4 linked regions of the Diceros bicornis minor genome follow. The main gene of each other region encodes a partner of the protein of the gene in region 4 in a complex. Links are inferred from orthologs where the notes say so. Each region holds a gene or a part of one and is shown on either strand. Other genes may lie near its edges.

Region 1 (7,552 bases), on a different chromosome or scaffold from region 4:
TTACCTGAATGGGAAGAGCTCAGCTGGAAGCAAGCAGTTAGCAAATGAGAAAAGTAGGTGGTAGTAAAAGTGTGGAGAGCATTCAATAAAAATCAAAGGAATCTGAACTTCATGCAGTGTACAATGAGGAGCCACTAATGGTTTATCAGCAATGAACAATCTATTAAAAGAATTTTAGAATAATCAATCTAATGGAAGTGTACAGGGTGAACTAGAAATGGAGAAACCATTTAGGAAGCTCCAGGTATGAATTAAGATCCCAAACCAAGATAGTAACAATGGCAACAAATGGATGAGGCATAAAGGTAGAATTGAGCAAAGCTGGGTAACTAAAAAAAAAATAGTGGAAAAAGAGAGTTAAAACGCTACTAAAATGCTACCTTTCTCATTATGCTGAGTGTGAGATCCATACTACTCCAAACACCAATTTCCCCTTGTATCTTTATAAATAATTCTAGCCCTTAAAGTTGACATTTTTCCCCATTAGCATTGTGTCAACATCAAACATCACTTATGTTGTTTGCACCAGAGAAAGTAGGTTGAGACTGTGTTACTAACATGTTCAAATTAAAAGACAACACTCCTCCAATCTGAGAAAAGAATGAGTCACCAAAAAAAAAAAACCCAGTGGGAAGAATATAATAAGAACTGATTAAATCCTACAGTTTTGAAATCTTTTAATTACGTGAATGAAAAATAAGTCCCTCCATAGGAATGTATTTTTACATTTAAAATACTACTCACTTTACCATGTGAAAAGGAGTTTCTAAAAAAATGTTAGGAGTACTATTCAATTTTATTATAGCACTTAACTGTGAATGTTTAAAATGGTTTCATATTTCCAAAAAGTTTAGTTGCTAAAATACTTATTTAGAAATGTATTTTTAACCAAGTCAAAAATGCAAATCATTTCAACAGAAAAAAAAATTTTTAAGTATACTATTACCTTTAATTCATGATAATCTATTGCTTCATCTTTGTCTGTGTCAAATAGTTCAAAAGCATCTTTAATTTCTTGTTTCTGCTCCTCAGAGAGTTCTCTTCTTTTTTTCCTCTTTGTTTTGTCTACTACAAGCTCACTTCTATGAAATGAAACAAAAAGTTTTAGTTCACTTTAATCCTATTCTCCTATGCCTCTAAATGATTAAAATAAGATTCCAAAAATGGAACACAAAAATTAGCCAACGAATAATTTTCTAAATTTCTAAAAAGAAGGTATTTTGAAGAAAGATAAATTTCCCTTACATGAGTCAAAGCCCTGCTCATTCCATAGTCTAAGCTATTATAAATCGGCACTTCCCAAAACTGAAAAGTGTTACAGGTTATTAAAAGAAATGAGGACCAAATCCTTCCTCCTAGCTTTGTGTTTATTCCCACGGTGGAACAAACAAAAACTGTGAATAAGAAACATTACTTTTATGTCAGAAACCCCAACAAAAAACAAAGCACCCACACTTATTAGTCACATCATTCTACGATATAAAGTGTTAAAAAAAAGAAAGTAAAATTCCTAATTGACCATCACTATATATTTGGTTTACTTTTGATAGTTTATCATTAAGTTATCAAAACTGCTACACAAAAACATATAATTTACCAACTAACTTACAAAGTGTTTTGGCACTGTAAGTTAAAAATGTTTTTCTATTACATGTTTCTAATAGTTTGGCATTTTATAATTTCTTCCGTTGATATTAACGAATCAGCCAAAATACTGAGTCTAAAAATATCACGATTAAACACCAAAAAAAGTAATACTATTTGGGCTAATTCCATATAATTACGTGAAGAATCAATGGTCTTTTTAAATCTCTCTTAACATGTAAACTTAATTTCTCACGAACTCTGGAAAAACTTGAAAAGGAAATTTATTTTAAAAGCCAGAAATGTCTTCCTTAAGAGATGCCGATCTAAGTGTTCCAAATTTTCAAATGGGGCTGCAACACTTGTAATTGAGAACAAATTTTGAAACAGAAGAATTCTGTAAAACGATAAAACGTAAAACCCAGTTACTTTTATTAGAACACCTTCTCTATTTGCATTTGAAGTTGTTTTGTTCTCCGAAATCTACAAAAAAACACAGGCAAGAGATGGCTAGAACTGGACCAGGAGCATGACAAAGCTGAGGAAGATCTTTCTTCACACAAGCTTGGACATTCCCGGGGTCATTCTCTTCCCAGGATTCCGGAAGGCCAAGTCCACAACAGACCCACAAGTGACCCCATCCAAGAGGACAACGATTATCCCTTGGCAGAACACGGCACCGTTTTAGAGTGGCGTTAACTACATAGATATTTTTAAGGTAAAATGTCTAGATGGGGCTGGGGAAGGGGCAAGAGAGGGTGAGAGGCTGGAACAGAATGAAAGGTAAAGAAACTCAGGAAATAAGGAACTCTACGACATTACCAATTAAAGTCACTAAAATGGGTCTCCGGTTATACCGTAAAGCAGAGCCCCGAGAGAAGAGCAAGGAGGCCTTTTATCTTACTTCCAAAACTTAAAGGTATGTATGTGAGCAGTACTGCAGCTGAGGTTAAGGCTGCAGACCAGGAGCGAGGAACTGAACGAATGGATGCTCCATGGCCTGATTTCTCGCAGAAACACCGCGAGATGAAACCTCGCGATATTTCACTTCCTCCTTGCTACTAAAACCACTCGTCCTTTTGGCGGTCCAAAGCACAGTGCTGCCAGACATGACTATGCACGGGGCTCATCACCTGCGGGACACCAGGGGCTCCAGGGTGGGGAGTCCGGGCCCGGGAAGGTTGGCCGAGGCTCCTTTCCCTCATCCCAAACTGCATCCCCCTTCCTCTCGCCTCGGCTCCAAACTGCCTCCCTTCTACACACACCCGCCCTGGGGCCCGCTGCGGGGTGGGGAGAGCATTGCCGCCTCCTCATTACCGACCTCAGAGTTAAACTCATTTTCTCTTCGGACAGAGACGTTTCTCTCAAGAACGACTTTAAACCCCTACCCAAGGCAGCACGACTTCCACAACCCGTTCAACAGACACCAACGACCTCGGCGGCCTCAAGGACCTCCCACGAGCTAGTCACTTCTGAGCTGGATTGGTTGAAATTGCTAATGTCCTGCCCATTAAGGCGGAGGCGGCACTAGGCCTCTGCTCTCATTGGGCGTCTTCCGCGTCAATCAACGAAACCTCTCTGCCGGCCTCTCCCGCTGCTCCTCCCGCCTCCTGGATTGGCCTGTTGAGTTTTCCCCGAATCCTTTGCGGAGCCGAGATCTGAGTGTCTGAGTCCCAGCGTTGCGGTTCGGGTGGCGGGTGGCTGCACCTCGCCTCACCCCAGGAGGGTTGCGGCCTGTGGGCGACGTTCCGGAGACACGACGGACGGCTCCGAGGGAAGGAGAGGGAGGGAAGAGAAGAAACACGCCGGAGGCCATCCTCCCGCTAGTAGGAGGGAGTAGCAAACTTCGAGGTCTGCGAAATTGGCTCCAGTGTTCTAAAACCTGGACGGCCGATGGCCTAAGGACACAGAGAGTTTGTTTAAAACGCAGATTTAAATGTCCCTTTCCCCCAATCTGATTCTAGTACGTGTGAATCTGCATCTTTTTTCCTTACAACCTGTCGAGTGATTCTGAGGCCGGTGCTGTGGATTATTTTTGGATAATAACTGAGTTGGATTATTAGGCTATTTACGGTGAAGCTGTACCTACACCGCCCTTGGCTCTGCTCTTCCTCCTTTTAACGGATTTGTTCGCTTATGTCCCTTATTTTCCAGTGCTGTAAATTGCACGAATATAACACTGCCAAACCAAGTCTCTTGAAGCTCCCTTGAGCATTGAATGTGTTTACTTGTTCATGTCTTGTACTAGACTGAATTTCTTCAAGGCCAGGACTCCGTCATGCGTTTAACGTTATTCCTAGTGCCTAATACAATGTCTGATGCATAGATGCTCAGTAAATATTTGTTGCATTGAATGGAATGTTGCTGTGAAAACTCAGAAAGTACTGACCTGAGCTGCAAATCTCATAAAGGAATAAAATAGCCTGAAGGTGGGAGTCGAGCAGAGGAAGGGGGAAGATATATAAACACTGATATATCTATAGAGAGATATGTATACAGGTTTAGAGAAAAGAGAACACAGCAGGGCAGAAGAAAGGCTTCCTGAAGGAGACGGTGTATATGTTAGACCTAAAGGATAAGCTAAATTTGGACTAGTAATGGTAGTATGATGGACTAAAGCTAAAAATTAATAGTTACAGCATAGCCGCCGCCCCCCAAAAAAAAACAAGAGTAGAAAGGGTAGTCTCGTAATCTAAAAATAAGCTGGTTCCTGACAATACCAATAAAACTGACAGATGTATGGAAGTGTAACAAAGGGAATATTGCCACTAATAAGGTTGGTAATTTAAAAGAGAGGTTTAAAAATTATTAAAATACTTTATCTGACTTCATGCTGCCAATAAATATTAATATCAAAATGACATAGTCACTTCAAGGAAAACAGATAAGGACTCAAAAAAGACAGAAAACTGAATTATGTCAATAACTGTAGATAGGACTGGAAAAATGATGCCCAAGTTCTGTACCAAGAGATAAAAAGGCATCCAGCCCACTCAGATTTATGGGTGAGTTTTAAAAATTCTTGAAGAGCTAATTCTTATGCTTTAAACTCAAAGCATGATGGGGAGAGCTTCTTAGCTTAATGTTTGAAACTAGCACAACCCTTATCATCCTAAACAGCATTTCAAGTCGCTGAATGTATGCTCCATGATGAGACTGTGTGCCTATCGCTCACCATTGTATGTGCCTCCCTCGTGTTTTATGTTCATTAGTGAACATATGTGCAAAAATCGTGGACGTTGGCAAAATCAATTTGGTATTATCTTCAAGGAACATTTCACTATAACCAAATAGAATTTATTTTAAAAATGCAAAGATAGTTCACAATATAAATCTGTATTAATTAATTATAATTCTAGGTTAAAGAGATCATCTCAATGTCCAAAAAGGCACTGAAAATATTCAACACCCATTCCTAATAAAATATATATTAATAAACTAGATATAAAAGGTACTTTTTTTTAACTTGAGCAACAGACTTAAAATGCTAGTGTTTCTCAAACCTAGTCCCTGAAACACTAGAATTTTGTGCTTTGTTTGTGGTAATTTCATGAAGAATGGGTGGGCAAATATTTGTGGGCAAATAATTTGGGAAGATAGATTTTTAAATGTTAAATTAAAATGTTTTCAACAGGATATCCTGTTGTAGGAATGACAGGGAAGTCACATGCATCACTTCTGCTCGTATTTTATTAGTGAGAATTAGTGACATGTCCACTCCTTTCCACCAGGGAGGCTGGGAAAAGAAATCTCTAACTGGAAAACTGTGTGCCCTGCTAAAACTTGGGGTCAGATCGTCTATTACTAAAGATAAGATGGGATTAGCAGCTCTGCTACAGACACCTTTAAAGCAGTTATCAACACTATCTTTGAAACTCTAATCAATGCTGTAATAAAACAGGAAAAGAAAGTGATATATAAAATTAACATCATGTGTGGATGAAATGATTACCTGGAAAAATCCAAGAGTATCACAGTATTGGAATTGATAAAAGAATTCAGTAAAGTAGCTGATGATCAGAGAAATTTGCAAAATCAATAAGCATTTGCAAAATAAAAGAATAATAACAATACGAAATTCCTTCAAATAAATTTAACGGGAAACCTGTAGGTAGAAAATCACAAAATTTTACTAAAGGACATGAAATTTGAATAAATTGAAAAAGAAGCTCTACTTCTAGATGGGAAGATTCAGTACTGTAAAAATGTTAATTATGTCCTAGATTAATCTGTAAATTTAGTATAATCAAAATAAAAATGCTCACATTTTTTTCTCGAATTTAACAAAATTATTCTAAAGATTGTCTTAAGAATAATTGCATAAAAATAACTTAAAAATTGTGAAAAAGAATAATAATACAAAAATTGCTCTACAGGATATCAAAATGTATTTGTTACTATGGTAATCAGAATAGTAAGTCCAGAGCCAAAGCCAAAAGTAGTTAAAACTTCTGGTTTAAGAAGGTAGTAGCATTAGTAATTGTTTAGTCTTCCTCCTGAAACCTTAATAAAACAATAGTTGAGAAATTAGTTTCTAATACTGAAGTGACCTAGAGAGGTACCACCAGCAGACAAAGTATTTCAAAAAATATCTGAAAGACCAAAAGAGATATATTGACATATTTTTTGATCAAAAGAGCTTGTTGACAAATGAGATCATCAAAATGGCATCTCAGGATTTGTAGGGGGTGACTAAAGCTTCAGAAAGAGTTGATCTACCTCTCAGAGTCCCAAGAGAGACTCTAGGTGTAGAGTTGTGTGGTACAGTCGAGGATGGAAGTGAGAAGAGGGCTAAATACAAAATGTCAATTCAAAAGCTCTTTAGGAGGGGCCGGCCCTGTGGCTGAGTGGTTAAAGTTCCATGTGCTCCTCTTTGGCAGCCAGGTTCGCAGGTTTGGATCCTGGGCGCTGGGGCACGGACCTACACCACTTGTCAAGCCATGCTTTGGCAGTGATCCATCTACAAAATAGAGGAAGATTGGCACAGATGTTAGCTCAGGGCTAATCTTCCTCAAGCAAAAAAGAGGAAGATTGGCAATGGATGTTAGCTCAGGGCAAATCTTCCTCAGCAAAAAAAAAAAAAAAAAAAAAAAAAAACTCTTTGGGAGACCACTGCACTTCAATTCTTCCAGATTCCCCTCACCAGTATTCTCTCTCTCCATGTTTATCTTGAACCCCACTCTTAAAAATGAATGAAGAATCAAAAACCATTAGAGATATGAAGAAAATCAACAGAATGAAAAATAAAACAAAGGAAAACAACTATCTAGGAAGACTCTGAGTCAACTTAGGAACAACTTAGGAACCAAAAGAAATTCATAATAAATTAATAACATTAGGCTTCCTAAGAGGTAGTCAAAAAATATTGTATTAGGGAATAGGATACTCCGAAAAAGGAACATTCTGAGAATAAGAAAAGACTGTTGAAAATAAACATATGATTGCAGAAATTAAAAATTTTATAGAGTGGTGAGATGATTTAATTGAGGAAATATCCCAGAACATACAGCATTCAGACAAAAACATGGAAAAATTGAAAAACATGGAAGACTAATGCAACAGGTGCATCATATGACTAATAGGAATTCCAGAAACAGAGAGCAACAAATGAAGGAGAGGCAGAAAAATATCAAAGAAATAATAGAAGAAAAATTTTGAGGAACTGAAGAGTGACAAGTCTCCAGATTGATAGGACACACCTAGTACTGAACAAAATAAATGGTAAAAGAAACCACACCTAGCTACATCAACAAGACATTTCAGGACATCAAAAATAAAAGAAAAAGTTAGCTTCCAGATGCAAGAATCTCATCTCCTGTAAAAGAATAATCATTGAACTAGTATCAGAGTTCTCATCAGAAACATTAGATACCAGAAGGTAATGCCTTCAAAATTGTAAGGGGAAATTATTTTGAACTTAGAATTCTAGTCCCTTTCAAGACAAAAAATCAAGTATGAGGGCCGGCTC
Region 2 (7,260 bases), on a different chromosome or scaffold from region 4:
AAAACAATCAGCACCCACTCAATTCAGCCAGCAACCACCTGGGAGTCACCTCAGGCTCCCCTTCCTCTCCTTAACATCCAGCCAATCTCCAGGTCTACCTCTCAAACATTTTGTAAAGTTGAACCCTCATCTCTCTCGCCCCTATTCTGACTCGCATGCTTTTCGCCTGATTATCTCAACAGTCTAAGCCTTCTCATTCCTCTAACCCACCTTCCCCTGGGCAGGAGAGGTCTTTCTGAAATGCTCCCCTGCCTTAATCCTCTCAGGGACACCTTCCATCCCCTACAGGAGGAAGTGCTTGCACCTTGACACGGCTACACGGGGTGCCCTCCAAAGAACGGGCACTGCCACCCCTACCATCCTCATCTCTTACTGCCTTCCCCCCAAATATACCCTAGCAATTCACTACTCCTTGGGGTGCCTCATGCTGTTTCCTCCCTTCATACCCCTGCACATGCAGGTGCACACTCTGCTGTAACACATACCCAAACCTACCTTGTCACATGGGGGACTCCTATGTATGTTGCAAAGTCAGCTGGGGCAGTCCCACCTACCTCAAACCCCTCTCACACTATTCTGAACCTACTACTGTGCTTCTCCAGTGGAAGAGTTGTGATGATTTCTTGCCACATCTGTCTCTCTCTGCACATGGAGAATTCCTATAGGGTAAGGCCCACAGACTGCTCAACACTGAATCCTCAGCTGCTAAGAGGCATATAACAAGTAACAAATAAATATTTCCTGAATTAAAGCGACCTGTTCCCTGAACACACCTCAGGCCCTTACCTCCAGGTCTTTGCTCTCACTCCTCACTCTTCTTGGCATCTTTCCCTCTACCTTATTTTCTACTTCAGTCCATCAAGAAGCAGGTTCAGACATTCAAGTTCACTACATCTCCAGCTGATCCCACCTCAGGGTCTTTGTACTTGCTCTTCCCCTTCCAGAATGCTCCTGCCCCAGACATTCCCATGACTTGCTGTCTCATTTCAACCAGGTCTCTGTTCTGATATCCTTCTCCTTTAAAAAACAGTCCTGACACTACATTCTATACCTGTGTGTTTACTGCTGGTGGTGTCCTCCACAGGAACAACGGTTCAATGAGGGCAGGCCTGTCTCATTCACCACTGTATCCCCAAGCCTGTAACGGCGCCAGAAACATGCATTTATTTCATATTTATTGAGCACCTACTGTGTTCCAGATCTAGGTGCTGGGGATACACCAGGGAAAAAAACAGACAAAAAGCCCCCCTTCACATTCTAGAGGGGAAGACCAACAACACACAATATACGTAAGTAAAATATAAGTGCTAAGAACAACAACTAAAGCAGTAAAGGAAGGCAGGAAGTGGGGACAGCCTCACTAGGTGACCCCTGACTAAAAACCTCAAAGAAGTGAGGATGTAAACCACATAGATATTGAACTGCAGGCGCAAAGGCCCTGAGGCTGAAGCATGTCTGACATGCGGAAGGGGGGGGTAGCAGAAAAGGAGAGTGGGAAAGTAACAGTGGGTCAGATTATGTAAAGCCTTATAGCTCACTGTAAAGAGTTTGTCTTTAAACGAGGGACCCATTGGAGGATTTTTTGAGTAAAAGAGTGATACGATCTGACCTGTGTTTTAAAAGGATCCTTCTAGCTGCTGTGCTGAAGAGGGGCCAAGGCACCAGATGGGAGACTATTTCAATAATCCAGGTGAGAGGTGGTGGTGACTTGGCCCAGGGCGGCAATCATTGCAGGTGGAGTGAGACAGACAGCAGGGGCAAGGATGACTCAAAGGTTATTGGCCAAAGCCTTTTATATTACTGAGATGAGAAAAAACCAGCAAGAAGAGCAGTTTGGGAAGGGGGATGGGGGGGAGGGCTTGCTAGCCCTATCTTGACATCGTCAGTTTGAGTTCCCATCAACCATCCCAGTGGAGATATCAAGCAGGCAGCTGGCTGCAGGTGAAGGGAGAGAGCCAGGCTGGAGATATAAATATGAGATGTTAGCCTAATATGTAGGTATTTAAAACTATGAGCCTCGATGAGATTACCATGAATGAAATATGAAAACGTTCCAAACAAACGCACAAAGGAGAAGAGCGGAACGAAAGAAAAGCTACGATGCCCAAGGACACCCTCTCACGCCCCCAGACAGAATACTAAAGGTGACCCTCGTATGCTGAAAGACATTTCGGCCAAAACAGAAAAAAAAAAAACTCTCCTCACACCTGACAGAGGGGCAAACCCAGAGCAGCGGCTCTGTCAAAGGGTCGCCTAAACTTTGACCAAAGACCCCTGCGCTAAAAAACGAGACCCCGTAAACTTGGGCACTGTCTTTGCAGAAGGTGGGGTGCTGTGGGCCCGAGAAAGTGCAGGCCACCTGCGGGTTCTAATCACTAGCATCTCCCTGGATGGGGAAGAGCATTCCCCCGGATGCTGGTAGAGGAGCCAGGCCAAGGGCTGGGAGAGGCTCACAGCGTCGTCGCCCTCGCCCTAAAGACCCCTTCCCTCGGAGGGCAACACCTCCGGACAAGGTGTACCCCCGAGGGGCGAGCGAGCCAGCAGGGCGCGGTCGGCAGGTAACCAGAAGGTCGTGGTGGGGATGGTGGGCTCGCAGAGCAGGGGAAGGGTGGGGGCGTGGCGCGCCGCGGCAGAGCGCTCCAGCGCCGGGAGAGGGGAGTCGGGAGGCCCGGGCTCCGGACCCAGAACGAGGGCAGACGGAAGGCACTCCGGGGCGCGGCCCGCGCTATAACGGGGGGCGGTTCGCCAGGGCGCCGCGTCGCCGGCGTCACGCGTGCCCGGCTGCCATGAGGCGAACGGGAAGTGTGAGCAGCATGGCTCCGAGCGTGGGGACCCGGCTCCGCCCACGTCGGGGCCCGGGGTTCAAGGGCAAGTCCCGGGTCGAAGGACGCGGCCAGCTCACCCTTACCTGGCACCGCAGCCGCCTCCGCCGCTGGGGTCCCGGCCGGAGAACACCGCCGCCACTTCTCGCGCCGCTCGCCCGCGCTTCCTGATTGGCCGAGGCGGCCGCTCCCAGAAGCCCCCGCGCGGCGCGCCGCCAAATGAACTTTATGGAGACCTGTGGAGGAGGACAAGGACAAGGGCGGGGCTGGGGGCGGGGCCTGCGGCTGAGCAGTCACTCACGGCATGCCAGAGGCCACAGCCCTCACCCCTCCCACGTGGTTAGAGTCGGCCCTGCTTGGAGAAAGTGATTCCAGAACTGCCTGCAATGATTTCTTACCCTTTATTGAATACCATCCCAGTGCCAGGCACTATTCTAGGCGCTGGGGGCACAGTGGCGACCACGACAGACAAGATCCCTGACTTAATGGAGTTCTCAGGCTGGTGGGGGGAAAAATATAATAAATAACTGCCAGTTTGTAAGGAGAGCTAAGACGAAAAAAGCAGGGTGATGGAAAAGAGAATGCCTGTGTGGTCAGGGAAGGCCTCTCTGAGGAGGTGACAACGTCTCCACTGAAATATGAATGATGAGAAAGGGTCAGTCTTGCAAAGTCGTGGCTGTGGAACATTCCAAGCAGAGGGAACAGGAATGAAGGCTCCTCAGGGAAACAAACTTGTTGTTTGAAGAATAGAAAGAAGGGGCATATGGCCGGCAGAGGATGAATGAGGACAGGTGGGGTAAGACTCACAGTTGGCTGGGGCCAGACTTTGCAGGTGCTTCAGGCCATGGCAAGAAAGTTGAAGTTATTCTTCATGCAAATGGAAGCCACTGGAGGGTTTGAAGCAGAGGTATGACACGAGGTGTGACTTACCTTTGTAAAAGATCCTCCTAGCCCTCTAGTTGGAGAATGGAGAGTAGGCAGCAGAGTGGCACTAGGAGATTACTGCTTTGTCCAGCACATAAAGATAGTGGGACCAGGAGTGTCACAATGTCCATTCATGCAACATACATTAGTGCTCACAACGTCCCAAAATGAATAAGGCCCAGTCCTTATCATCAGGTCAGGAAGCAAGTACATAAACAGATTTTATTTCAGTGTAATGTGCTAAGTGCACGACAGAGCTATGTAAGGATGCTAAGGGAGTTTAACCCAGTCTGGAGGGTTGGAAGTCAAGGAGACCTTCCCTGGGGGAAGTGACACCTTAACTGAGCCATAAGGATGAGTAGCGATTAGCCTAGCAAAGAGAGAGGGAAGGTTTTTCCTGGTCTAGGGAATGGAGTAAGCAGAGGTAGAGAGGAGAGGAACAGTGCTCTGCCCACCCTCACCACGTCTTTCCTCTATCCTCTAACAAAGATTCCCTCCTTGACAGAACTCTAGCCAGGCTCCTCTGAGCCATTTTCTCTTCTAGGCCTCAACCATGGTCTATAAAGACTTGAACAAAACACTAACATAGTTTCTAACAGCTCAAGGTCGTATCCCTAGGTGACCCTAGCCCCTCTTAAAGTACCTGACTGAGAAAACTCTAGGCTGCCAGAAGAATTTACTGTTTGTTCTGGCCAATATCTGAAGATGGGGCCCCTGTCTCCCAGCCTCTGTGGGAGAGTAGGAGCCTAACTTCTATAATCGCCAGTTAGCAAACCCAGATGGTTTCATGTGGACCAACATTTCCTTCTCACTTTTTGTAATTTTTCACTTCCCTGACTCTGTGTAGCTCACCCCCTTCCCTGTTCTCTCATTCTCCCTTTGAAACACCCAGTCACCTCTGTACAAATCCAAGTTGAGTTCAGTTCCTGCTGGACTCTTCCCTATTGCAATAGTATATTACTGATTAAAATATGGTCTTACCACTTTAGTGTCCAGCTTTGTTTATCTTGAACACTTCACACTAGCATATTGTGGGTTCTGTATAAATTATTGGTGCTGATTGACAATATGTATGGGTGTGGCCTTTGTCCTAAAGCTATTAAATATGTATTCAGAGCCTGCTGTGGTCAGACAATATTCACAAATATAATAGTCTTGCATCTGCATAATGTTTTATCCTTTTACCTTGCTTTTTCTTTTATGTAAAGAAGAATTTTTAATGACATAGACAAATATTCATGAAACATTGCCAAATGAAAAATCAGGACACTTACCTTTTAAAGCTGGATATTTCCATATCGTAAAACCCAGCAATTCTACTCCTAGAAATATGCTCAAGAGAAACTCTTACACATGTGCACCAGGAGATATTTGCAAGAATCTTCATAGCAGCACAGTTCATAATAGCAAAAAAACAAGCCAAATGTCCATTAACAGAAAAAGGATAAATTGTGGATATTATCACAATGGCATATTACACAACAAAGAAAAATGAGTGTGCTACAGCTACAAACACAACATGGGTGGATCTTGGAAATATAATGTTACGTGGAAAAAGCAAATGTCAGAAGACTATATAGTATAATATGAGCTCAAAATTCCTAATAAAATTAAAAAGCAAGTAAAACTAAACAATATATTGTTTATGCATAGATACATTTGTGATAAAACTATAAAACATCAGAATGATAAATAGGAAATTACAGATTGTAATTATCTCTAGGGATAGGAAGGGATATGGGGAGGACCACCTGGGAAGATGTAAGGTATTGGATATGTTCTAGTTCTTGGGTTGGGTAGTTGGTTCATAGGTGTTGGTTATATTATGAATCACTATTACATATATATTACATATAAATAATTTTGTATGTGTAAAATAATATTTTTAAATAATAAAGGATAAAATGACCAAGAAGGGGAAAAAAGCAGAACAATATAACTGTAACTTCAACTTTGTTAAAAATACACATTAGAGAGAGAAAAAGAGAAGGAAATATGATAAGACGGGGACAGAGTCTCTCCTGGGTGGTTGGAAGCACAGGCAAGCCCTGAAAAGCTAGTGCACTTTTCATAGTTTCTGCAGTGAAATGACCATGCATTGCTCCTATAATCAGAAAAAATAACTAAAACTTGTTTTTTCATTTTGTTTGCACAAGAGTTAAAACAAACATCAGCTTCCCAATATTTACCCAGGTATATAATCCAAAGAATTTCCTTTGAGGATTCCAAACTTACCTCCAACCCCACTCCTTGAATGGTCTTCTTGTCCAAATGCTACAAAAACAAGAGTTTCTTTCTCCTGACAACAAGGTCTGTATCGGTGTGATTTGTGGAGCTGTTTCTGTCTATTAATTAATTATACAGTTTAGAAGAGTTTTCTCCAACATCGCTTTTTAACTGAGCTCAGAACTTACCAAGCACCATTGTCTGAGGCTTGTCCTGAAGTGTGCTCCAGGGTCCCCGTAAGACTTGCGCTTTCTCCGAGTCGGGGAATTGCACGTTCTTTCCTGCTTAAAAGAGATCTGGGGAGCAGCAGGGAATCCTTAACTCCCCCAATTTGCGCTGTTGGTTTCCAAACACTCTTTACCAATAAAACTCTTTTTTCAAAGGAAATCTTTGGTGGAGCACTTACATATAGCAGAGATTTTGCATGTGTTATGTACATGCCAAGTACATAACTTTACCTTTTTTGCCTGCATGGTCACGTTAAAAAATGCAAATCTTTGCACTCTTGTCTGGTTGAATTGGAGCACTGTCAGATATCCTTAGTCTTCAGATTAACTCGTTAAGTATATGGGATGGGCATCCAGTACACTAGACTGTATTACTGGACAGTGGGTCTCTAGTGGACATCTGCTGTTCAGCACCCTGGCTCCCCTTTGCCGACCCGCCCCTCCCCTACTCTCAGTCCCTGTATTTTGATTGGTGGCATGTGACTCAGGCCTAGCCAATCAGAGTACTCCAGTACCCTGGCCACAGGGCTGATTCGGGGATGGGTCTATGACTTAAGAAAATTCACTCTCAAGATGTTCCACTCAGACAATTGTTCTCTTTACCACTGGAATTAGAACTGTGAAGGTGTTTTCACAGAAGTTCTCACTCCCTGAAATTAACCTTTTAAAACTTTGATTGTTTATTAGCCATGAGGGAAGAACTTGCTTGGGAACAAAGCCGTTACAGAACAGAGCAATGCAGTGATGTAGAGAGAGGCTAGAATCCAGTATATTGTGTTTCTGGATCAAGCTAAAGCTAAACCTATTCCTGGAATGTTCTGTTGCATGAGAAAAAAAAGTGCATGTTTTCCTCACTTTCAGTTGGGTTTTCTGTCACTTGCAATCAAAATAATCCTGAAGGATGCAGGCATCACTTGAATCCTTTAGCAGCTCATCTAGCACGCTTGTTACAATGTCAGTAGGCCAGAATTCATTAAGCTTTTCCCAATCGAATGTCCTTGGCCCTCACGTGCAATATAAGGTGGTACTTTCAACAATGTTAAGAAGACTGTTTTCACCAT
Region 3 (7,691 bases), on a different chromosome or scaffold from region 4:
TTATATGCAGAAGTCTCAAGAGAAGGCAAAATGAAGGAGAAGATTGTAGTTTACCAGGAAGGGAATCCTTGTGGCAATGAGTGTTACTTGTTCCTCAATTCCTACACATTTATGGTCTAGGAATAATAGGAATACAAACAAATCTAAGACCATCACAATGCTCATAAGCTTACTGTTGCGAATGACAAAGGATGTTAAACACACATTACACAATCAGCAAAAAAGTATAAAGTAATAAACGGCGTGATCCTAACAATTACACACCACAAAGGAATATAACCACACGGGGCAGAAAAGAGTCAGAGAAGAGAGAGCTCACTGGGAACCAATGCAGGGATCAATGAAAACTTCACCTCAAATTGGGACCTGAAGGTTTGAGCAGGTGATTCTCAAGATACAACAGACATAGATGGAACTGTGCTTTCCAATCCAAAGCCTCAGGGTAACATCTTCTACACGTATTTTCAAGAAACAAACTAACTGCTACAGTATCGCTCATTTATTTGCACAATAAATAAATCTGAGCTAAGTATTTCCAGGAGAAACTAAGGCACAGAAACTAAATAACTCGCCTCAAAAGTAAAGTTAAAAAACTTATTGAGGGGCTGGTCCAGTGGCCCAAGCGGTTGGGTGTGCGCGCTGCGCTGCAGCGGCCCAGGGTGCGCGGGTTTGGATTCCAGGCGTGCATTGACGCACCGCTTGTCAAGCCATGCTGTGGCGGCGTCCCATATAAAGTGGAGGAAGATGGAGACGGATGCTAGCCCAGGGCCGGTCTTCCTCAGCAAAAAGAGGAGGATTGGCAGATGTTAGCACAGGGCTGATCTTCCTCACACACACACACACACACACACACACACAAAATTACTGACTTCCAGTCCAATGCTCTAGCAGACAACATGGAACTCCATTCCTAAAAGAGCTGGAGTTAACAGAAACTGGAAGCTATCTTCCTTAGAGAGATCCATGGGGTTGGAAACCTTTGGGGGAAAGCTTCTAGGTTAGGAATAAGTCTCTACAACTGAGTCGTTTTGGTAAGAAGGCTGAGACACAGCCAACCTACTCTGAGATAGTTCTTGTGAGAAACATGGTGATATTCCCCATGGAGATGATAAATAAAAGTGCCCACTGCCCACGGATCCCCTGACTCCAAGGATGAAGTATGACTCTCTTGCATGAATTGAGATTTAAGCTTAGCAGTAACCTTTTCAAACCACAGTTGTCTTTTTAACACACGTACACCACTCAGACTTCTACAAACACACTAACTGAAGAACACACACTAAGAGACATCCAAAAATGTCAATATTCAAACTGACTTTCTGCAAAACCCTGACTTTCCCAAAACCCTGAGTGATTTAAGGATATTACTCTATTTTTCACAATGATTTCCCTACATGCTTCAGAACCACCTCACCGTTACTCTGAAATACTTGGAGAAACAGGCTCAAACGGTAAGCTGGCCTGTCTGCGGTCATCTGCAAATCAGCAGGCAGCAGGAACAGAATTTCAGTTTTCTCCTAGTCCAGACCTCCAAGCATTTCAAACAGAAGGCTGCTGCTCAGTATAACCCCAGTCGTTGTAAGGAGCCTTCCAGCACAAAAAGAAAGTGCATTCTCCTAACAGGGGCTAGGAGCAAAGCAGTCAGGCATGAGTTTGGTAGGTTCCCCGGGATGATCAAAGCATCTTTCAGGCAAACCAATGCCTTCCTTCCCTTGTTCTCTTTCATCAAAGAACGCGCCTTACCCTGCAAGAGCTAAACTTGACCCAAACTCCCCAACGACTAAGAACTAAGCCTAAGAAAAGGAGGGCACAGTGACCACAATGCTGCCCAACATGAGAGCTGACATGAAACAGCAGAGGCGGAAAAAGCAGACTGGTCCTCACAAGGTGCAGAAGCAGTTCAATGGAAATTCCGGAGAAGAAAACCTCGAGCTGAGAGGTGAAGGAAGTGCCATCAGATAAAACGAGCAACATTCATAACAAATATTTTCTGGCAGCCTATTACGCGCTCTTCTGGGGGCTGCGGATACAGCGGCGAAACAGACGAAGCGGGGCAACACCGCGGGCCCAGGGAGCACTAAGCGACAGGAACGTTTAGCTCATTTCAGGAGGGAGGGCGGCAGGGAGAAGGGCGACGCTTCACGCCGTAACTTGGAAGACGGAGGTGCGGGGATCGGGTTAAAGCCTCGGACCCGGGCTTGGACGCTCGCTTGACCGCTCAGCCAGTTCTGAGCCGGACCCGCGAGCCATCGGTGAAGCCCAAGGTGCCCACGGAGTCGGGAGAGTTCCAGGGACATGCGCGGGGGCCGGCGCTCGGAAGCGCCCTGGAAGTAACAACTGTCTCTTTCTGCTTCTACTTCACCCCCTGTCCCCAAGCCCAGGACGGCGCCGGGGCCTCCCCGAGAACGCGGGCAGGTTGGCGGACGGAACCGACGCACGAGGAGAGGAACAGACGGATGAATGGAAGGCCGCGCGAGGACGGAGAGCAGAACTGCCCGGAGGGGCTCGGCGACTCCGAGCACGAGCACATGGGGACCCGGGGAGCGCCGCCGGGCAGCGCAGGAGGCGGCGGCGGGCCGGGGCGGGGGCTCCCCGCGACCGCGAAGTGCCCCGGGGCGCCTCGAGGGAGCGTCACACCGGACGAGGAAGCGCGGGGGGGCGCCGAGGGACGCGCCGGCGGGGACAGGGGAGGAGAGAAAGGGCCCGAGCGAGGAGACAGGAGGCCGGCGCCGAGCGAAGGGGTGAGGCACCGGCCCGCCTCTCGGAGAAGTCACCTCAGATCCCCGCGCGCCGGGACAGTTTGGACGTAACCGCCTCCCGTCTCGGCGCCCGTCCGCCTAGCCGGGCTTCGCCCGCCGCCGCCACCACATCTCGCCCCAACTCCCGCCCCGCTTCCGCTCGGCTAGGACTCGGCGCCTCACACCCACCCCCGCCAACTCGGCCCGCTCCGCACCTCACACACGGCCCGCCGGCGGCCGCCGCCATCTTCGCGCGCCCGCGCGCCCCAGCCCCGCCCCCAGACGCCGCGCCCACGTGACCTACCCACCCCCCCCCCCGGCTGGCGCGTGGACGGGGCCTTACATCACGTGATGGCATGGTGGGGCGGGGCCAAGATGGCGCTGCCCTGAGAGGTGAGGAATCTGCGGCGAGGGCGGCCGAGGCTGTGAGGAAGGCGGCCGAATGGCGACGTCTGCGACGTAGATGAGAGGCGGTGAGGGGTGACCGGGCGCCAGCACCCGGGCCGCAGAGAGTGGCCTACAGTGGAGCTTTCCTCCTCGCAGCTGGAGAACGGAGAGAGAAGGTGCTGGCTGGGTGAAGCTGCCGCTTTCTGCCTGGCGGGGCTTGAGGGGCCCAGAGTCCACGGAGTCCCTAATCACCCTGGTTTCCCCGGGGTCCCAGGTCTAGAGACATGACCCGAGATTGCGCTCCCCCGGCCCCGGGAACCGGGGCTCCGCTGAGCGGGTCGGTGCTGGCAGAGGCGGCAGTGGTGTTCGCAGTGGTGCTGAGCATCCACGCGGCCGTGTGGGACCGATACTCGTGGTGCGCCGTAGCCCTCGCAGTGCAGGCCTTCTACGTCCAGTACAAGTGGGACCGGCTGCTACAGCAGGGGAGCGCTGTCTTCCAGTTCCGAACGTCCGCAAACAGTGGCCTACTGCCCACCTCAGTGGTCATGCCTTTGCTCGGACTGGTCATGAAGGAGCGCTGCCAGTCTGCGGGGAACCCATACTTCGAACGCTTTGGAATTGTGGTGGCAGCCACTGGCATGGCAGTGGCCCTCTTCTCATCAGTGTTGGCGCTGGGCATCACTCGCCCGGTGCCCACCAACACTTGTGTCATCTCGGGCTTGGCTGGAGGTGTCATCATATATATCATGAAGCACTCACTGAGTGTGGGAGAGGTGATCGAGGTCTTGGAGGTCCTGCTAATCTTCGTCTATCTCAACATGATCCTGCTGTACCTGTTGCCCCGCTGCTTCACCCCTGGGGAGGCACTGCTGGTACTGGGTGGCATCAGCTTCATGCTCAACCAGCTCATCAAGCGCTCCCTGACTGTGGTGGAAAGCCAGGGGGACCCAGTGGACTTTTTCCTGCTAGTGGTGGTAGTGGGAATGGTGCTCATGGGCATCTTCTTCAGCACCCTCTTTGTCTTCATGGACTCAGGTACCTGGGCCTCCTCCATATTTTTCCACCTCATGACCTGTGTGCTGGGTCTGGGTGTGGTCCTGCCCTGGCTGCACCGGCTCATCCGCAGGAACCCCTTGCTCTGGCTTCTTCAATTCCTCCTCCAGACAAACACCCGCATCTACCTCTTAGCCTACTGGACTCTGCTGGCCACCTTGGCCTGCCTGGTGGTGCTGTACCAGAATGCCAAGCGCTCATCTTCTGAGTCCAAAAAGCACCAGGCCCCCACCATTGCCCGAAAGTATTTCCACTTCATTGTAGTGGCCACCTACGTCCCAGGTATCATCTTTGACCGGACGCTGCTCTACGTGGCCGCCACCGTATGTCTGGCAGTCTTCATCTTCCTGGAGTATGTACGCTACTTCCGCATCAAGCCCCTGGGCCACACTCTGCGGAGCCTCCTGTCCCTCTTCCTGGATGAACGAGACAGTGGACCGCTCATCCTGACACACATCTACCTGCTCCTTGGCGTGTCTCTTCCCGTTTGGCTAGTCCCCAGACCCTGCACACAGAAGGGTAGTCTAGGAGGAGCAAGGGCCCTAGTCCCCTATGCAGGCGTCCTGGCCGTGGGTGTGGGTGACACGGTGGCCTCCATCTTCGGCAGTGCTATGGGGGAGATCCGCTGGCCTGGAACCAAAAAGACCTTTGAGGGGACCATGACGTCTATATTTGCCCAGATCATTTCTGTAGCTCTGATCTTAATCTTTGACAGTGGAGTAGACCTGAACTACAGTTATGCTTGGATTTTGGGGTCCATCAGCATCGTGTCCCTCCTCGAAGCATACACTACACAGATAGACAATCTCCTTTTGCCTCTCTACCTCCTGATATTGCTGATGGCCTAGCTGCTGTGCAGCAGTGATGGAGGAAACAGGGCCAAGGGGAGGATGAATGGTCCCCACAGCAGCCAGACAGTTGGGCATGAAGAGCCAAGGAGTGAGAAGCAGATTTGATTTTTCAGTTGATTCAGATTCAAAATAAAAATCCAAGATCACCGGGTTTTCGTTTCGCTAATATTTAAAAAGCAATGGGGCCGGCCCCGTGACGTAGCGGATAAGTGTGCGCGCTCCGCTACTGGCGGCCTGGGTTCAGATCCTGGGCGCGTCCCAACACACTGCTTGTCCGGCCATGCTGTGGTGGCATCCCACATACAGCAACTAGAAGGATGTGCGACTATGACATACAACTATCTACTGGGGCTTTGGGGAGAAAAAGGGGAAAAAGGGGAGGATTGGCAATAGATGTTAGCTCAGAGCCGGTCTTCCTCAGCAAAAAGAGGAGGATTGGCATGGATGTTAGCTCAGGGCTGATCTTCCTCACAAAAAAATTAAAAATAAAAAGCAAAAAGGCTTAATTAAAGAATATTGCAACAAATCAAAGAACTTGAGTGTGCTGTAGCCCCCCGTCCCCTGCCTTGCAGTCTTCAGAGGAGGCCGGAGTGGACACTGGAGGCAGGAGAGCGTAATGGTTAACACTGCAGGTTCTGCTGTCAAGGTAATCTGGTCAGAATCCTTGGCTGCACCACTTCTTCAACTGTGTGAGTTGCTTAACCACTCTGGGGCTTAGTTCTGTCTGCAAGATGAGAATAATAAGAGCCGGCACCTCACATGGTGGTGTGAGGATCCAGTGAGGTGAGGTGTATGACATGTCCAGCCCAGTGATTGCACATCGTGAGCAATCAGTAAGGGAAAGTGTTATGATTACTCAAGGCCAGTCCTCATCTCAGCAAAAAGCCAGGCAAGCTAGAGAGTTTCTGGGGTGTCCTCGGAGACAGAGGAACCTTACTCCCCTGGCTTCACTTGCAGGAGAACCCAAGAGGAAAAGAGCCAAGTGCATGTGGTTTCTCCCATTTGGACTAGGAAGAGCTGAAGGGGAGAGGTGGGATCAGCTTGTTGCGTGTGTGGAAGGGCTGAAGGAAGAGGATCAGTCTCTGGGCTGACTTCCTGTTTCAGTCAACCCCACCCCTGCCTCAGTGTCTCTGCTGCCTGGCTGAGTGGTGCTGATGAAAGACCGGCTGGACAGCACAGGATCCTTGTCAAGGGGTCCCTCCTGAGACCCTCTCACACTCCAGTCTTGTCCAAACCTGTGTTTGTCTCTTCTCTTGTCAAGAAATTAGAGCTTAGGGAGCTGACAGAGTTTACTGAGAGGTCAGAATAGCTCTACTTGGGGGGCCATGCTCTAGCCTTGCTCTCTGTGAGGACAGAGTCTGGGTCTGCCTGGTTCACCACCGCATCCCCTGGTGCCAGCAGAGCCTGGCATGTAGCAGGAACTCAGTAGACGTTTCCTGAATGGATGAACCTTTCCCATCAGTGGGAAAATAGCAGAGCAGGTTTCCTGAGGCTGGACGAAGTTATGCCCCCTTCTTACCCAGCGTGGCAGGGAGGGGCGTAGCAGGAAGAGGTGAGAACTTTGGCCCGCCAAGGCCAGAAGCCAGGAGCGGAGCTTTCGGGAGCTCTTGCTTCTGCCGGGGGATGACTGCCAAGCCCTTTCCTGGAGAGGACATTCCTTTGGGGCTCAGAGGGGACTTAAGAAACCCTTCCCTCTCTCAGGCTGCCGTCTACGGCTTGCCTAGGAGGCAGCAAAACGCTGGAGGAGGGCACAGTTTTGCCTCACTGACTCCCTGGGCAGCCCTGGGAAAGGCCTCTGTCCTCTGGGCCTTGGTTTGTCCACGTAGACGGTGGGGGCTGGAAATCAAGGTCACAAACTTACATGGCTGCTGAGGCCAGGCAGGTAATGCCACAAAGGAGGACAGGGGAAGTGGGAAGCAGAGAGGACGCGTGCCACTAAGGGGACACCTCCAGCCAGTCGTCACCATGCTAGACCACAGGCCCAGTGTGGTTGACCTGCCCAGTCAAGGAAGCTTACAGACCTGGATTGTTATGTGACATCTCCCAAATTTAAAAAGTTTTCATAAAAATGTTGAGGCCCAGACAAAACACATCTGTGGTCTGAAATCAGCCAGTGGCGCCCAGTTTGCAACCTCCAGGCCAGGCTCCAGCTAAGCAGGTTTTCAATTTGGTGGTCATTCCCGCAGAAGGTCTGGGTGCCTGCCAAGCATGCCCAAGCAAGAGGCCCTCGTCTGGCCCCGATTGTGCAAGTTGCATAACAGACCCAGAGAGAGGAAGGGCCTGGCCTGAGGCCAGAAAGCAAGTTGGTCACAGAGCCAGGACCAGATATGGGACTCTGGATTCCCAGTCCCGGTCTTTCTCCTCCGCAAGCAAGGAGGCCCAGGAGTGGAGAGGTTAGAAGCACAGGCCCTGGATCCGGCTGCCCTTGCTGAACAACTGCACAGCTGTGTGACTGGGGCTCCCCGTGCCTCAGCTTCTTCACCTGTAAATGTGGATGGTGAGAGCCCAGACCTGGAAGGAGTGAGGACTCAGTGAGACGAGGCACGTGGAGCTCTCGGCATGGTGAGCACCCACGAAATGTTACTTACTGGTATAAAAATCAGGCAACCCTCCCCAGGCTGGGCTGGGGGACCTGGGGTGATTTTCAGCAGGGCTCTCATCT
Region 4 (7,916 bases):
GCAAGCGTGCTGAACTTAACCACTAGGCCATGGGGCTGGGGCTGGCCCCCAGAATTGTCTTACCTTTTGAAGAATATATAGAGGAGGTTTTTCATCCAGGTTGGGCTTAGACTAAATTGTATTTCATTTGTAATTAGTGGATATTTCCTATCTCTTAGAGAAGGGTCAGCAGCCTCTCTATTTGCTAATTTATAATTGGCAGACGGTTCCAATACTATATGGGGAAAAATAAAGAAGTTTCTTGGAGGACAGGGACTCTAATAATAATAGGCTTTTCATAAATTGAGATCTCTCCCAATACACCATCTGTTTTGGCTGAAAAAACCAGGTTCAAGTTTAAGAAAAGTGAAGTTGGGCTAATCTTTGTTTTCAGCTTGGTTATTGGGAAGGAATTCCTGTCCTTCTGTGTTTTGTGTCAGGTTCTGCCACTTGGTCTGAATATGAATAGCTCTTAGTTTTTTCTCTAACCTTCTATGATATACGTTGAATTCTGTTGATCTTGCTAACATAGCTTCTCTCTGAGATTTGGAGGCCTGATGTACAATATCCCTTCCACCAAAACGCCCCTGCTGATGTACACTCACTCCCATCCTACAACATGTCCTCATATCCCCATGCCATAATGGGAGTCCTTGCATTCCCAGGTGATCCTAAGCCAGCGATTTGAGTCTGGTCTCTCCAACGGCTATCACATCATACAGCTGGGCAAATATCCACTCTCACTATGCAGCAAGACTAGAACCAGGATCTAACAAACATTTAAGTGATAGGTAGGTTCCAAAACTGGCCAAAAAAATGGCAGAACGATGGCAAAGTGAGAGCATGGGCTTTGAGAGAGGAAGAGAAATCATTTCAAGTATTGACTGCTATTATTTTTAAAATAATTTTTTTAACTATTTTTTTATCCCTTCAGTAGTGCCCCAGTTTCAAATGAGGAAAATAATTTCTCTCAGGATTATTAGAATTACGTGAAAATCTCTATATAACATTATGATGGGGATTTGTTCATGATTCTTACAAACGCTTTATCAGGAATAAATAAATGAATTTGAGAAACATTAATTTGTTATGCAGTATAGTAAATGAATACAGGCAAGCCAGGAAAGGTTATATAAATCAGTTTAGCTGTTTTCATCATTGTACTATTTATTCTAATAAAATGGAAACAGTTGACATTGGTAGTAATTGGATATTGGGCAAATGAGCTATAGTATATACAGAGTGACTGTTAACACTGTTCTGTGTGTTCAGGATATAGCTATGAGAAAAATTCCTTATCTGCTAGGAGTTTAAAACCTAGTAGGGGAGAAATGAGTTTCTATTAAAATATACTCAGTGAAACAACCCAAAACATAAGGTCACTTCTCAGAATCATTTCAGTTTTGTCTAGGCCTAAAGACCAGTGGGAGTAGAAGTTAATAATAAAAAGGAAAGGATGAATAAAGAAGATAGCTAGCTCATAATACAAAATTTACAAGTGATAGCTTCCAATGCTGTGAACTACAGAATCTCATAGGGTTTTTAGGGATTAAATTTAATGATCTATAGAAATTGCTTAATTATAAGTACTAAATAATAATAATTTCCTTCCTCAAAACCTGTTAACTCTTAATATGGCTGGAAGGATTTCAAGAACCCCTATTATTGTTCCATGCCATTTGATATTCTTTCCAATTTATATATAGTATCTCTTAGAGAAATGTTCAATAATTATTTATTTGAATGCAGGTAGATTCTGTAAGTTATAATCAGAATAACTTATTATAACCCATTCTACTACTAGTAATTCCCACTTAAAGAATGAATTTTGTACCAAAAATGTGTGAGGAACTCTAGGTTTGGTGATTTGTAACTCCAAACTGAATTTCAGCACAGAAACAATGTTATTTTAGAATCTCAAACTATGCAAAAGAAGTTACTTCATCCCATAGTGAGGCTGATACTATTTCAAGGTAAAATTAAGAAGTTTTTTTTTATTTATTTATTTATTTCCCCCCCAAAGCCCCAGTAGATAGTTGTATGTCATAGTTGCACATCCTTCTAGTTGCTGTATGTGGGACACAGCCTCAGCATAGCCGGGGAAGCTGTGCGTCAGTGCGCACCAGGGATCCGAGGGATCCGAACCCGGGCCGCCAGCAGCGGAGCGCGCGCACTTAACCGCTAAGCCAGGGGGCTGGCCCAAAATTAAGAAGTTTTGAATGCGCATTTCTTCTTGTCTCTTATTCTCTCTCTGCTGTCAAGCCTGGTAAAGTTTCCAGGAACTCAATCACATAAATGTGGGACTAATGTATTCTTGTTCCCTCAAATGTTGTTTTACTTCAAAGAAATAACCGTAAAATGGGGTAAACAATTGAGATCAAGTCTAAAGGGGGATGTGGATTTTCCCATATCTCCTCAAATCCTACCAATTTTCTATTCTAAAGTTTCGTTTTAGTTAGGCCCAGCTCTTTTGCATGTCCCTTCCTTCAAAGCTTGGCTGTGAAGGCTGTCCCCACACATCAAATAGCCTCCAAGAAAGGGATGGGTTTTGAGTCCCAGCCAGTCCACTCTCCTGTGCTGGGAATTTTGAGTCCGGTGGGCTGAAAAGGGAAGATGGGATGTGGCTACAGTTCCATCTCCTATATATGAGCCCATTTAAAGATTTAGGTACAGATCTTCCCTGTGAGTTAGCTTATTAAAAATTACCTTACTCCGCTTGCCAAATACCTAGCTAAGAATTGTGAAAGACAAACAATTGTATTTAAGAAGGATGAGGTGCTTCCAGAAGAAGAGTATGCATACCTGGAGAGTCCAGGGGGGAGTCAGTGGTGTAAGGGGGCATGAAGCTAGGACAGGGAAGCACAAGAGCAAGTGGATTCATTCTGTCTATCATATTCTGCAACTTTTTATAGTCTTGGTGGTTACGGACAGGAGCGCCACTGAAAGCCGTCATTTGCTCTGTAAACCTAGGTCTGATACAACATGGTTCCTTGCAAATTCCAAGGTACTGTAAATTTCGTTTTACAATTTGACTTATATGATTTATACAGTGGTTTGAATTGTGCAGTTTGTTGGTGGAGATGGTATAAAAGTCTTGGAGTTAATTTATCTGTGTCTGATAGCTGGATGATGTTAGATGCTTTCTATCTAAGCAATCATTATGAGCTATAATATATACATTAGTCCTTTTATCAGACGCGCCACCCTGTTGAGGTTAATATTCATTCTGTTTGCAGATGAGAAAACTGAAGCTTAGAAAGAGGATCAGTAACTCCCCCAAGGCTACACAGCTAGTAAGTGACAGATTTGAAATTGTCTATTTGACTCTAAAGCTATTTATAAGCTTTAAGATCAACTGGCTCAAACAGAACATTAAGCCTATGTTTTTTCACAGTGGCAGATTTTTCTCCCTAATCATTCAGTTACTTGTCTCAGCTCTTACAGAAAAGTTGGGTTATAGTCCTGGCTTTGACTGCCCAGCTCAGTGTCCGCCAACATGCCACTTGGATTCTCTGGATCGCTGTCTTGTCCGTTGAATGAGAGGGCTAGACCGCGTGATCACCAAGACCTTCCTAATGGTCAACTCCTACAATCTCTATTCGTATTTTGTGGATTCCATCTTTGAGCCTAACTCACTTTCCTAAATATGATGCCTTCTATTTGGAGCAAATATATATATACTTTTATTACTGATAACAGACTGCTTACCTCTAATGTGAGCTGACTGCGTAGGTAATAATTGTAGCCATTTATTGTCTACCAGAAAACATACTAAGTGCTCTACGTAGATGATCACAACAGTTCTATAAGGTGGATTTTAAAGTTTCACGTTATAGAGGAGGAAGCCAAGGCTCAGGTTTTGACTTATCCAAGGTCAAGCCAGAGAGCAGCAGAGCTGGAATTCCAGCCTTTGTGTATTTGACGACAAAGCTCTTATATGTTTAATGGAACATTAATGAAACTGTATATATTTTCTAATTCTGCTTTAGGCTTAAAGATCATGGACATTATTTTTTCAACCAGTTTTTTTTCTTTTTATGTTATTAGCTCCCGTCTTTGATTTTATTATCTGCTTATTTTCTGCTCCCTTTATCAAATGATGGGGAGAAGTAGAGTGGGAACGTTACTGTTTTGATGTTAAATGCCTCTTTCAAAGTTTAAGTTTACAGCCAAGAGCGGCAAAGTGAACAGACTCTCTGGCTTTGTGACTTCGCGGCGATCCGCGCATCTCCTTCCTCGTCCTCCTGAGAATTCGCGTTCTTCCGCTGAACTACGTTTCCCAGCGGGCTGCGCGGCCAAGAGCGCGGGCTCGACAAGCCCTTCCTTCCTCTTCGCCTATCACGCGGTCGCAGCGTGATGACGCAAACTGGTCCGGCGCTGACGAGTGACGGCATTCTGGCTCGCGACCGCGGCGGCGGCCTTAGCAGCGGCAATAGGCGCAGCAGCAGCGGCGACTGCAGGGACGACGACGGCGGCGGGGCGGGCGCTGCGCGCAAAGGGGAGGGGTAGGCGGGCGGCGCCGGCGGCTTCAACTGCGGCAGCTACGACTAGGGCGACGGAAGAAGAATCCCCATCAGCCGGCCGTCGAGTTAGGCCTAAGCGCCCGGAGCCGCTTCGCTGTCCTCTGCGGGGGATCTCCATAGAGACAGTGACATACACAGAGGCGGGGGTCCGCGGGAGGCTGCCGGACCGGAGCCAGCTCCTCGGCCTCTGTCGCCGCCACCGCCTGCCCCGCTGCCAGCGCGCGTCCTCTCGCCACTCCAGCTCGCAGCCTCGCCGTTCCTGGTGTGCCTGTGCCCCGCTGTGTGGGCAGTGCGGGCGGACTGTTGGGCTGGGGCCGGGCGGGGGTGCTCTAAGGCCGCCGCCTCTGCCTCTCCCGCCCCCTTACCCGCCCGGGAGGGGGAAGCAGCGGAGGCTCCGCCATGGCCTCGGGAGCCGGAGGAATAGGAGGGGGCGGTGGCGGCAAGATCCGGACGCGGCGGTGCCACCAGGGGCCAATTAAGCCTTACCAGCAGGGGCGACAACAGCACCAGGTACGGGACCCCGACGCGGCGGTGGCCTAGCGGGTCGGGAACTCGGCGGGAGGGAACAGGCAGCGAGGGGCCCTGGCGCCCCACGTGGAGCGGACGGGAGGGCCTGCGGAAAGGCCCGAGCGAGGCGGCGGGAGCGCAGGCGGGCGGGGTGGCGACGGGAAGTGGGCTGACACAGGCCCATCTTTGCGGCACCCACGTGTGGTTCGGGCCGCCTCTCGCCAGCCCTCCAGGCCAGGGGCTTCCCCTGGACGGGCGCAGGGCGGGAACAGCAACTCTAGGCCCACGATGCCCGCGTTTCTTTCGCTTTTGGCGGGGATTGGGGGGTTGAGGGTATTACTCACGTCCTCCCGAGGGAGAAAGGAAAAGATGTGGCTGGAGGCCTCTGCGCTTGCTGTTTTCTAGTCTCCCGCGTTTCAGTGCGTGTGGGGAGGGGGCTGCCCGGAGGGATCGGCCTCCGGGGGTTGGCGGGGGCGCTGTTACACAGAAAGTGGAATAACTTAGTCTCAACCTATTAATTAATTCTCCATCTCCTCTGCTCTTGTTCCTCCCCGATCTGAGAGCATTGGCTTAGATTTTTTTTTTCGTAACCGGGTTAGACTTACCGTGGCAGTGGGGCATTTTGAAAGTCCCTCTCCACCCTTACGTCTTTTCTCTGCTGCGAGACTCTTCCTTCTCCACTTTCTATCCCTCCCCTTCCCTTTATTTTGGAGGGTAGACTTGGCCGTTATGCACAGTTGACCGGGACTCCAGTTCTGGTCTCATGCACAAAATATTTTAATATTATGGGGCGTATTCTGGAAGTTTAGGTACTTTTGACATTCCAGGCATGTTGGTGGTCTTAGAATTTAACCACCTTGTGCACTCATGGGTGTTTGAAATTATGAAAAGGAGTTTATCCTAATTGTAAATGAGACATTTGAGTCTGAGGAAATTTCGTTTTTTAAACGTTACGTGTTTATTATGGGGATTGAGTAGGAAAATGTTAAAAACTTATTTTGATAAAAGTCACTAATAAAACTTCTCTGTGATGCTGAGGTGGGAAGTAAGTGTATATCTTAAACTTGTTAAAAAACAGAAGTACCGTACAGCAAAAGGGTCTGATAACTTGTTGCATACTGTTAAAGGTAGACTTCCTAGGTTGCCTTATTCTGGATGATGATGAATATTGGACACTTTAACATGTTTGGTAGTGGTGTTAAATTGTATCATTAAAAAACAACAGAATTTTAAAAGTAATGATTTGAGGGAAATTTTTTGATAGTAAAAATTGTGGTTTATAATATTAAGTAGTCCTCTACTAATGGTTAGAAGTCTTGGCATTACTATTATCTCTCACCAGTTTCCCCCCAGGTAAATATATGCAGAAAGTACTTGGTTTTCAGATTTCTTTGTGAGAAACAGGGGTATATACTTGCAGGCAGATTTAAGATTAGAATTCAGGTCACAAGCCTGGCCATTTAACCTAATCCTTTTGTAGAATGGAAGTTAGACACACATGCTTTCTGTTTCTCCTGAAGAATAAATGTCTGAGTGCTGTCTTAGGTCTCCCTAAGGGAAAGTTACTACATAAAAAATGAAATGTTTTAAATACAGATCATTGGATGGTCTGGACAGAGTTTAGAAAGGAGCTAATATATTCCAGGTGGCAGAAGTTATAATCACAGCTTACTTTTAAAGGTATTTAGATAAAAATCTAATTTGGGGGAGATGATGCCTTAACAACATAACACCTATGATCCAAATTGTCTTAGAGCTGATATAATTTCAGTGTAGTTTTGTTTTAGAGCTTGATAATTTTATCATTTCCCCTTATCAGAAATGCTTTCAGCTTCTTACCTCAGCCATTTAATTGAAAAAGGAAATACATTTTTAGCTTTTGGGTTGAGATTAAAGATGTTTGGGAGTTTCTTGATCAACACTGTAGGTGTTACTTAACATTGGCAGAAACTACCAAAGAAAAGTATGTGTCCAGGAGTATACAAAAGAATACTCTTTAATTTATCGATTTTGTTCATCTTAAAATAAGGACTTTCTTTAGTCTTTACTGGAACTTTTGTGGATTTGTAGACTACCTGCTTGCTGTACTATCCTGGGCTGTCACCTCTCTATGTTTTGCAGCAGCTGCTGAGTCATCATGAATATCAAGGAGCTTCATGACATGGCATGTTTTATACTAATGTTATTTGATTAAGTGTCTAAGAGTTTCTGGGCAAAAATGAAGTTTTGGGATATGTGGTAGAGAGTTGGAATAAGAATGAGAGGTCTGGCACTATTAGTTAATGGATGTTTGCCATTGCCTGTCAGGCCAACTGGCTTGTGCAATCACGCAGTCACGCAGTACCTGTGACTTTTGCGTGTGTTCAACTGACTTGTAATTTCCTGTTTTGATTTCTTCTGGTTTAGCTCTGCTGAGATAGATCTAGTTTACATTTTTTCCTTTTAACTTCTGATCTTTAAAATGGCATCTTGCTCGAAGTGGTGGAAACTTAAATCCATTGTCTTAACTAACTGAAGGGAAGCAACTTAAGAATTGAAGAAGCAAAAATGAAGAACAGCCCTGAGTAGTGTAAGTTGATCATTTTCACTTGCCTTCATCCCTACCTCCTAACTCTTAGCCCAGATGCATTTAGGAAATGGTGTCATTTTTCTAGTTGGGAGTGAACAGGTCACTAAAGAGGATGTGGTTAGTTCTTGTCACCTCTTCAGTCTCCTTTCCCGTTTCCTTTTTGTGCAGATTGTCAGGCCCAAAAAGTCAGCTCTGGAGAGGTCAAGCTGCTTTTTTTAATAGCCACCACAAAAAACTTGAGCCCACGGGCAAACCAGAACCTTGCCTCTGGAAGAATCTACTGCCACCTCCTGGTGAGAGGGAACTACTTATTTTTGCCCTTTTTTGGGGGGTGTGCT

What was found.
Region 1: NUP153 (region 4) and CETN3 share a complex: the UniProt entries of both Homo sapiens proteins name them as parts of the nuclear pore complex. The link is inferred for Diceros bicornis minor from reciprocal best matches to the Homo sapiens genes NUP153 and CETN3.
Region 2: NUP153 (region 4) and NUP93 share a complex: the UniProt entries of both Homo sapiens proteins name them as parts of the nuclear pore complex. The link is inferred for Diceros bicornis minor from reciprocal best matches to the Homo sapiens genes NUP153 and NUP93.
Region 3: NUP153 (region 4) and NUP188 share a complex: the UniProt entries of both Homo sapiens proteins name them as parts of the nuclear pore complex. The link is inferred for Diceros bicornis minor from reciprocal best matches to the Homo sapiens genes NUP153 and NUP188.

The regions. Positions count from the first base shown.
Region 1 is NC_080740.1:16,898,049-16,905,600, forward strand, and holds the start of CETN3 (centrin-3), read right to left. Parts: upstream 3,014-7,552; 5' UTR 2,923-3,013; coding exon 2,906-2,922; intron 1,083-2,905; coding exon 947-1,082; intron 1-946. UniProt on the Homo sapiens protein: Plays a fundamental role in microtubule-organizing center structure and function. As a component of the TREX-2 complex, involved in the export of mRNAs to the cytoplasm through the nuclear pores.
Region 2 is NC_080771.1:10,272,589-10,279,848, reverse strand, and holds the start of NUP93 (nuclear pore complex protein Nup93), read right to left. Parts: upstream 3,003-7,260; 5' UTR 2,909-3,002; intron 1,139-2,908; exon of another isoform or gene 1,052-1,138; intron 1-1,051. UniProt on the Homo sapiens protein: Plays a role in the nuclear pore complex (NPC) assembly and/or maintenance. May anchor nucleoporins, but not NUP153 and TPR, to the NPC. During renal development, regulates podocyte migration and proliferation through SMAD4 signaling.
Region 3 is NC_080767.1:36,691,653-36,699,343, reverse strand, and holds the start of NUP188 (nucleoporin NUP188), read right to left. Parts: upstream 3,005-7,691; 5' UTR 2,986-3,004; coding exon 2,954-2,985; intron 1-2,953. Other genes in the region: DOLK (dolichol kinase), read left to right, coding at 3,410-5,026. UniProt on the Homo sapiens protein: Component of the nuclear pore complex (NPC), a complex required for the trafficking across the nuclear envelope. Required for proper protein transport into the nucleus.
Region 4 is NC_080753.1:49,678,048-49,685,963, forward strand, and holds the start of NUP153 (nuclear pore complex protein Nup153), read left to right. Parts: upstream 1-4,901; coding exon 4,902-5,012; intron 5,013-7,916. UniProt on the Homo sapiens protein: Component of the nuclear pore complex (NPC), a complex required for the trafficking across the nuclear envelope. Functions as a scaffolding element in the nuclear phase of the NPC essential for normal nucleocytoplasmic transport of proteins and mRNAs.